2 linked regions of the Oryzias latipes genome follow. The protein of the gene in region 1 binds, or shares a complex with, the protein of each later gene. Links are inferred from orthologs where the notes say so. Each region holds a gene or a part of one and is shown on either strand. Other genes may lie near its edges.

What was found. Proteins that work in one complex are often made in the same cells at the same time.
Region 2: the proteins of bcap31 (region 1) and fis1 are in contact, whole or in part, in a crystal structure (PDB 8XWX), measured with the Homo sapiens proteins. The link is inferred for Oryzias latipes from reciprocal best matches to the Homo sapiens genes BCAP31 and FIS1. Residues at the interface, in NP_001132913.1 of Homo sapiens: Asp224, Leu227, Glu228, Ala231, Lys232, Ala235; in NP_057152.2 of Homo sapiens: Arg52, Val56, Glu59, Glu60, Pro63, Lys64, Lys89.

What each region holds. Positions count from the first base shown.
Region 1 is NC_019865.2:31,915,091-31,919,109, forward strand, and holds the start of bcap31 (B-cell receptor-associated protein 31), read right to left. Parts: upstream 2,809-4,019; 5' UTR 2,678-2,808; intron 1,237-2,677; 5' UTR 1,229-1,236; coding exon 1,137-1,228; intron 1-1,136. UniProt on the Homo sapiens protein: Functions as a chaperone protein. Is one of the most abundant endoplasmic reticulum (ER) proteins.
Region 2 is NC_019876.2:17,585,874-17,590,121, forward strand, and holds the start of fis1 (mitochondrial fission 1 protein), read right to left. Parts: upstream 2,810-4,248; 5' UTR 2,748-2,809; coding exon 2,703-2,747; intron 2,651-2,702; exon of another isoform or gene 2,463-2,650; coding exon of another isoform or gene 2,460-2,462; intron 2,319-2,459; coding exon 2,186-2,318; intron 2-2,185; coding exon 1-1. UniProt on the Homo sapiens protein: Involved in the fragmentation of the mitochondrial network and its perinuclear clustering. Plays a minor role in the recruitment and association of the fission mediator dynamin-related protein 1 (DNM1L) to the mitochondrial surface and mitochondrial fission.

The sequences.
Region 1 (4,019 bases):
TTTGAACTGTTGGTGCCGTTTAAAGGATTGTGTTGAAATCCCATTAGATGCGCACAAACAAACAAAGTTCTTTCTAAATATTGTTTTATTTGTGTTATTCTTCACTTGTTTATGTTGTGAACCCAGACACAACGACGAGCCTGCATTAGGTTTTTTTAAATAAACATAAACCAGGGCCACTCTCCTGACAGGATGGGAATCCATATCCACCATTGCAAGGACACTAGCAAGGAACCAGACCGTTTCCATTTCATGCCCAAACTCGAGATTCACGCCGCTTCAACATTTTGCACCTAGCCTCATGTCGGTGGCGGACATGCGCTAGAAAACAGAAAAAGAGGAGGAAGCCCCTCCCTGCTTGTCAAGTGGGAACACCGAAATGCATACAGCATGTTCTTGAACACGCGTCAGAAGCCCAGTGTGTCTGTAGCTTCCGGCTTAATGAAACCCCACAGAGAGAGAATGTGGCCTGCAGGGGAAGAGGTCCACAGGGGATGGGTTCAAAGACAAACGCGAGGACAGAAACCCAGTAAGCAGCTCAACCCGCCTGAACTTTCCAGCCACCTTCATGGTTCTGTGTCACGTTTCTGTTTTGATGCTGAGCTTGGTTATCGTTATGATGTCTGCCACGACTGAAAACATCAGCTGGTCATGCCTGCAGAATCCAGGCAGGAAATTTTGTGTTTGCAGCTGCTGACAGTCTGCAGATGTCGTTGAGATGTAAAAAAAAAGGTTTGACTGACTTGGCTCTGCTGAATCATTTCAAAACTAAGGAGCTTCAAAAGTTGTTCGTAAGAATCATGACATCCACCCATTCAGATGCATACACAGGAACTCTATGATTAGATCAGCCTCCAACGCTGCCATGGGCCTTTGGACAGGTTTTTCTACATTTGGGTAACACAAAGTGCATTTGGAAAGACTTACCGGTAAACTGCATTTAGAAAACTCCTAAATGTAGTTTTACCCATTTGTTCATCTGAAGAGGTAATCATCACAGGCCATGTTAAGCAGAGCTCATTGTGACAAATATCTGAACAAGGATTAGCCGAAGACAAGATCGTGGCATAAATCATAAAGATCGTGGAATAAATCATAAAGTCCAGGTGAGGTGTTCAGTCCTGGTGAGCACTCACCTCTTTGGGGAGATGAAGGGGATACAGAGCAGAAGAACGAGGAAGACTTCCACATAAAGGAAGGTGGCCACCGCTGTCCACTGGAGGCTCATCCTGACTCCTGAGAAGAAGACAAGTGAGAGCGAGTGCTTTATCGAGTCCATGTTAAACACAAGTTCAAGAACGGAATACTCAACAGAGCAACAGCACACATTCAGAGCAGGAGGCATCTTGACTTTCTATGCACATCCAGACTAAAACTAAACTAAACTAAAACAACGGAAAACAAGAAGCATTTCTGTTCAATTTGAGCCTGATTCTGAAATCCATGTTTCACAATCAGCTTTCCTCCAGATGATGATTTCATCAGATTAGTCATCTGTTTTACACACACCAGAAGCTCACAGCTATATGCTTTATGGTGTTATCCATACTTGCCCTCCAGCATCTCCAGCTCTACATTCTAATCTCAGCATAACTACACTTTAGTCTTGATGAGCTGATATCTATGGTCTAAACTCCACTCAGAGGTCCCATTGACTCAGAGCAGTTATGTTTTCTCTTATCTCCTGACTCCCTTCTGCTCATCCTGATGTTTCCTCTATGAGCAGAAACATTTAGCTCAGATCTATAGGAGGAGAGACAGAGGAGCGACTCACCAAGATAAACAGCATACAGTGGTCGATGTGGAGACCAAAGCCTGAACTACAACAAAAATACACTGGACCTCACCACAGACCTGACCAGGCTGTCAAAATAAACTCCTTTCCTGTGGCAGCTCCACGGCCTGTGTGTTAGCATCAGGGAGGAGAAAGTTCCTGGAGTGTTCCACACCAACAGAACCTCACAGGAGTCCAGCTGGACAGAGACTGATCAGAAACTCGGCGTATTTTTGAGGAAACTCTTCTGAGATGGGGAGCCAGTTGGGGGGCTCTGGTGCTGAGGGGCGTGGCAGCTTCAGACAGCTGTGTCACGATGCAGCGATCAGTCGTGATTAAGACCAGCGCCTGACAGCAATCAGCCGATCTGAACCGGCGTCACTCAGCTGTGTCCTCTGACTTAGATTACTCTGTTAAGATTCATCTTGATCATCATTCGCTGTAAATTAAAATAGATGGTTTCTGCAAACCCCTAAAAGTCTGACTGAGGCCAATGACTGAAGACAATATTTTATTAAGTAGCGGTAGCCAACTTGTTAGCTGTTCTTTATTACACCGCAAAAATGCGCGTTAAACACAAGACGATTAGGGACCGTGTATTTGCTGGAATGCGTCTAACTTAATTTGATTTCTATATTTTAGTACATAAACTGGTTAACTGACCTTTATTTTTCGTTTAACCAAATTGGAAACCGTGGCTTTCTTTGAGATTAGAATGTTTCTTGTTTTTAAAAGACACTGACGCCGTCCACTCTCGGCAGAAGCCGTTTTATTGTCAAATCATAAGCGATGTTTTGAAATGCAGTCGGGCGGGCAGCTGCTAGCATGCTAGCCGCTGACGACAATGGTATGACTCCGCATTTTACCGAACAAGGTTGCCATCAGAAGGCTGACTAGACTTACCTCAAGTACACAGACCAAGAGAAAAATGCCTTCCTGCCCAAAGAGACGTAAAAAAGCTTGTAAATGCTGCTCTGCTAGCCTGTTGTGACAACTTCCGGTCCACTTCCGGCTCTTTAATGCCAGCTCATCGTCTAACGTGATTGGATGATTCAAATGTAGTAGGAGGAACTGCACTCTACAGTTGACGTGAGGACATTGACAATAAAATATAATAAATATATAGTCATATGTGATGGAGTCAATGCGTCAGATTTAATAAAAGTAATTAATACAATTATTTTGTTTAATGGTATTGTAGCGACCTGGGGGTCAGTCCCGCCTTCAGCCCCTAAGGCTCATGGGAAGTGGGGAGCTTAGGGTGAAACATTGAGTCAGAGGGCTGGAAGCTGAAGTGACCCTCCATGCTGTTTGGGCTGTATGTGTGCTGGAATAAACAGGCTTGTTGCTTAAAAGCTAATATTGCCTCTCTCTACGTTTCTTGCAACCTGAGACTGTCCGGGGTCGTGCGGTGTATGGGGCACGGACAGCTCTCCATTAAAACCTCTTCATGAGCAGTTGGCTTTCGCTACCCCACTAAAGTGACGGTCCGGCCGGATCGTTACAATGGTGTCAGAAGAGGGATTGCTTAGCCGCTGCTACAACATGGAGAGCATCTCCATGGAGGGTGAGACGGAGCAGCTGTTCCTGGTGGCAGTCTGGGACAAGGGAGGAGTAAGGGCGATGACACCACCCTGATGGATCGAGCACCCACCGTCATCCGCAGCCTGGCCCTGCCCGGCACCAACGTTAGAACATCCGGACCAGACTGTGATGACGGTGCGCAGCCCAGCTGAACCTTCACAACACAATTAGCAAAACACAGGAACACACTGGCTGGAGACTCCTTCGCACAATCCTGGGTTTCGACCGCCACCGTGTACAGTCCTCCTCTTAACTGGCTGGGTTAGCACATCTGCAACTGACACAGTTCCATGCCAGTATGTGCCCAGCCAGGAGAACCAGTCCCCGCCTCCGTGGAAGCACCACCATCAGGGTGCACGTCACCATGGGGGAGTAGACTCTCTCCAAGTGAAGAGCTGCACACCAGCAGCAGAAGGTCCCCAGGCATCCCAGGCGATCGTCGTCGTCACTACGGCGGCGAGACTCCAGCTGCTGTAGGGTCTGCTTCTTCAAACCCTCCTCCCCAAAGCGAAGCTCTGCTGTCCGCGCTGACAGGTCTCGCAGCTCCGCAGGTGGGAGGTCCAGCAGTGTAGGGCCCTCTAACGCCAGGTCTGAGTGTGTGAGAAGTCCCTTTCGGTGTCTAGCCCTCATTGCCGGTCGCCAGGTTGACCTGAGCCAGGTG
Region 2 (4,248 bases), on another chromosome or scaffold:
TCTACAGGAGAAAAATAAAAGCGTTTCTGCCATGAATGCTGGAAAAAAATCCTCACAAGAACCAGACCATTTATATACCATCTGCCTTAGTGGATATTTATTTAATCTTTTCTTTTAATTCAGTTGACTTATTCCCTGAGAGGATTCAGGCCAAACCATTGACTGTATATGAGAACTGGACAGAGTGACCCCTCCCCCCTCGCATTCCAAACAGGAAGTCCCAAAAAGTCAAAGTCCCATAGATTTCTAGGGAGGAATCAACAGCTAATAGTCATTCTATTTGTCACAATCACCATCCTATCTCTGATATCCTAATCTGAGTGTTTTTTAAGATTTTTTCGTAGTGAAATTATTCAAGTTCTGAACCAACCAGATGTCTGCCGCCTCGTATTGAATCATTGATTCTCCTGAGCCCGTATTTTAAGTGGTAGGGGTGTGACTTTCCAATAAGATCACTTCTGACTGGAAGACTGGTTGCCATAAAAACAATGATTCAGACCGGCTCAGACCAATCAGGGCTTACTCATGATTTCTGGTTTCAACATGGCGGCATTCATATTGCTAAAAAAAAAAACCAGAGGACTGAATTGACTTCATATGGTTGGAGCTGGACGTGAACCTCTTTTTATGGATGATGTCACACTCAGTCAAGTTCTCATGTACACTCATCAGCCAATTTATTAGGCCGGGTTGGAGCTTAATCTATTGGGTTGAGATTTGGTGACTGTGGAGACGATTCGGGTCCAATGAACTCATTGTCGTGTTCAAGAAACCAGTCTGACATGAAACCAGCTTTATGACATGACGCCTCATCCTGCTGGAAGTAGCCATCAGAAGATGGTACACTGTGGTCACAAAGGGATGGACACGGTCAACAGCAATACTCAGGTAGGCTGTGGCGTTGTAACACAATAACTCACAACACAACACTATAACTCACAACACAATACGTCACAATATTTTAACTCAAATAGGAAGTGAGTTAAAATGTTGTGAGTTATTGTTTAGTGTTGTGACGAATTGTAGTATGTTATTTTGTGTTGTGTTGCGAAATCTAAAGTGTTGTGTTGTGGCCCTTCTGGGCCACCGTACATATTATTTCATTATTACCTCTAGTGCTTGAATTTAGTATTTAAATATACATTTGGGTTGAGATTTCATCAATGTATGTGTACAGTAAAAAAAAAGTGCAATGAGATTTAAAATTCAGATTTCTATCTGCCCCTTAAAATGAATATTCATCTTTGCCTCTCATATAACGATAAAAATTGTGCTTTTTCATAAAAAAAACTTTTTTTATTCATTTTTTATCAATTAAAATGTTTTCTAAATAATGCATGGTCACATTATTATTTGGAGTTTTTCTTTAAAAAAAAAGACAAAAAAGGAACATATTCAGTCTGGGCTCAAAGTGTGCCAAGAAAAATATCCCCCACACCATGATACCACCACCACCAGCCTGAACCGTTGATACAAGGCAAGTTGGATTTATGCCTGCATGTTGTTGATGCCAAGTTCTGACCCTACTATCCAAATGTGGCAACATTCAGAAGGTAGCAGTTTCTGAAATAAACATAATAATAATCATAATCTGACACAAACAACCGATGCCATGTTCAAAGACCCTTCAATCATCTTTCTTCCTCATTCTGATGTTTGAACTGCAGCAGATCATCTTAACCATGTCTACATCCCTATAATGCACAGAGTTGCTCCCGTGTGATTGGCTGTTTAGACATTTGTATTAACGAGCCGTTGGGCAGGTGTGCCTAATGAAGTACCCCGTGAGTGTAGAGTCAATGGGCTAAAATCAGTGAAGAACTTTCCGGTCCTTTCAGGGAACATCCCTTATCTCTGGAAATAAGAAACTTGTTTTTTTTGTAATAGAGAGTAAAGTAAAGCTGTTTTCCACTCTTTTATTGATGGGGGTTGTTTAATATAGAAATATTTCATAATTCTCCAACAAAAAACAAAAAAATCTAAATGTCAACAAAGTATGACTAGGAGTTTATAAGTGAAATTAATTACTTTAAATGGCAAATAATACAGACTTTTAAGCATAACCAAGAGCAAAAACTATTCTTGGCAGTTGAAGTAAAAGATAAGTCGTCCATTTTCCATCTATCTATCCATCTATCAATGGAAATGTACATGTGATAAATAACGGCGTGCTGCCTTCACTTACCCTCCAACAACGCGATTCCCTTCTGGATGTCCCCCGAGTATTTACTCCTGATCAAGCACCAGGCATACTCAAACTTCGTGTCCTTGGAGACGGCCCCCTTGTCGAGCTCACTGTTGTATTTCTTCTCAAATTTCTGTCAAACACAAATATTTAACATGAATGTGAACGACAACGACCCGAATATGAAACCTAGACCCTCAGGTTTCCATTTTTAAGCTTAAATTACCACTTTTGTCTCGTGACAAAATCAAAAATCAATATAAACCAAACCAACCATTTATGAAAATGTATTTTTCAGCCGTCAGAAAAACGGTTGAGATGACAGTTTTGATCCCAAACGTAAATGTTAGCATTAGCTGCCTACGTGACGAAACAGAGGTTGACGTCGGAACGTTGTATTTGGCTAAAGTACTAGTTTCTTTTAACCAATGTTGGGATTGTCGGTGTCAGTAAAGTTAACCACACTTCTAGGCGTCACAGTTGGAAAGTAAATATGTGTGACAATGTACAAACTTACCAAAAGGTCCTCAGGAGCTACTATATCACTCAAAACAGCCTCCATGTTTCCGGAAAACAACGAAAAGGGCCGCCCACTTTGAATCACGTGACACGAGATTACGTCACCGGTACCAAAATACTTCACCATGCTGATATAATTTTATTTTTTCTGACTGACCAAACACATAAGGCCAAACTTCAATAGCAAAAAAGGCAAATAATAATAACAATAATTTGGAAAATATAAACATTTCCGGCAACTACTACAAAATACAAAAGCGTGTTACGCAATATCCTCAAACGACAATTGTTATGTAATAACACAGAGAGAATTTCAATTCAAATATTTACAGAAATAAAACTATTATTATTATATAACATCTAAAAATAAAAATAGGCTTTTACAGTGGTGGAATTTTATGTTAATTGTTTAGTTTGGCTCATTCCCAGAAAAGTATTATGCAGTAATTAAATTCACAGTAATTTCTAGCAAAGATTTATTTTTTATTTTCAATTTCTTTATTTTATTTTTTATTATTTTAAATTCATTGGAATCAAAATGAGTACCATAATATAAAATACATATGTGTAAAGTGGTGCAAATGTTATATGAAATAAAAATGTTAAACACATTGACTGTATCCTGGAACTTGACTGTGTTCAAAGGAAGTGCGACATCACCCACAGAAAATGACTTTACTTCTGGTTCCAACATAATGAAGTCAATTCAGTCGCCATCATTTTTCAATATGGAAGTTGCCATGGAGGAACTAGACGACATCCACTCTCAGGACGACCTGCTGCATCAGAATGGCAAAGAAGTGTCATTGAGGGACTTTGAACGTGGCATTGGTTGTTGGTGTCAGACGGGCTCGTCTGAGTATTTCAGAAACTGCTGGTCTACTAGGATTTTCACCCACAACTATATCTATGATGTACAGAGAATGGTCTGAAAAAGAGAAACTATCCAGTGAGCGGCAGTTTTGTGGGTGGAAATACCTTGTTGATGCCTTGCTGAATGCACAACATGTCCAACCTTGAGGCAGATAGGCTACAGCAGCAGAAGACCACACCGGGGGCCACTCCTGTCTGCTAAGAACAGGAACCAGAGGCCACAATTCACACAGATTCACCAAAACTGGACAATAGACGATTGGAAAAATATTGTCTGGTCTGATGAGTTTCCATTTCTGCTGCAACATTTAGATAGATGGATAGATATTCCTTTATTAGTCCCACGATGGGGAAATTTCCTTATTGCGGCAGCAGTACAGGAACAGAGAGCAGTATATAAAAGAAAAAGACTATGGAATAAGTATGAACACCTATATACACAATATACACACATACCTTCCAAAATATTGCACAGGATGATCATATGATCGGTTATTGCACAGGGTAAGATAGGATCGAGTCGATGATGTTGTTTGACGTGGTTCACTGGGAGCAGCTAAGGTTGTAAAGTCTGATGGCAGAAGGTAGAAACGACCTGCGGTGTCGCTCCTTCAGACACTTAGGATGTCTCAGTCTGACGCTGAAGGAGCTGCACAGTGAGGACACAGACT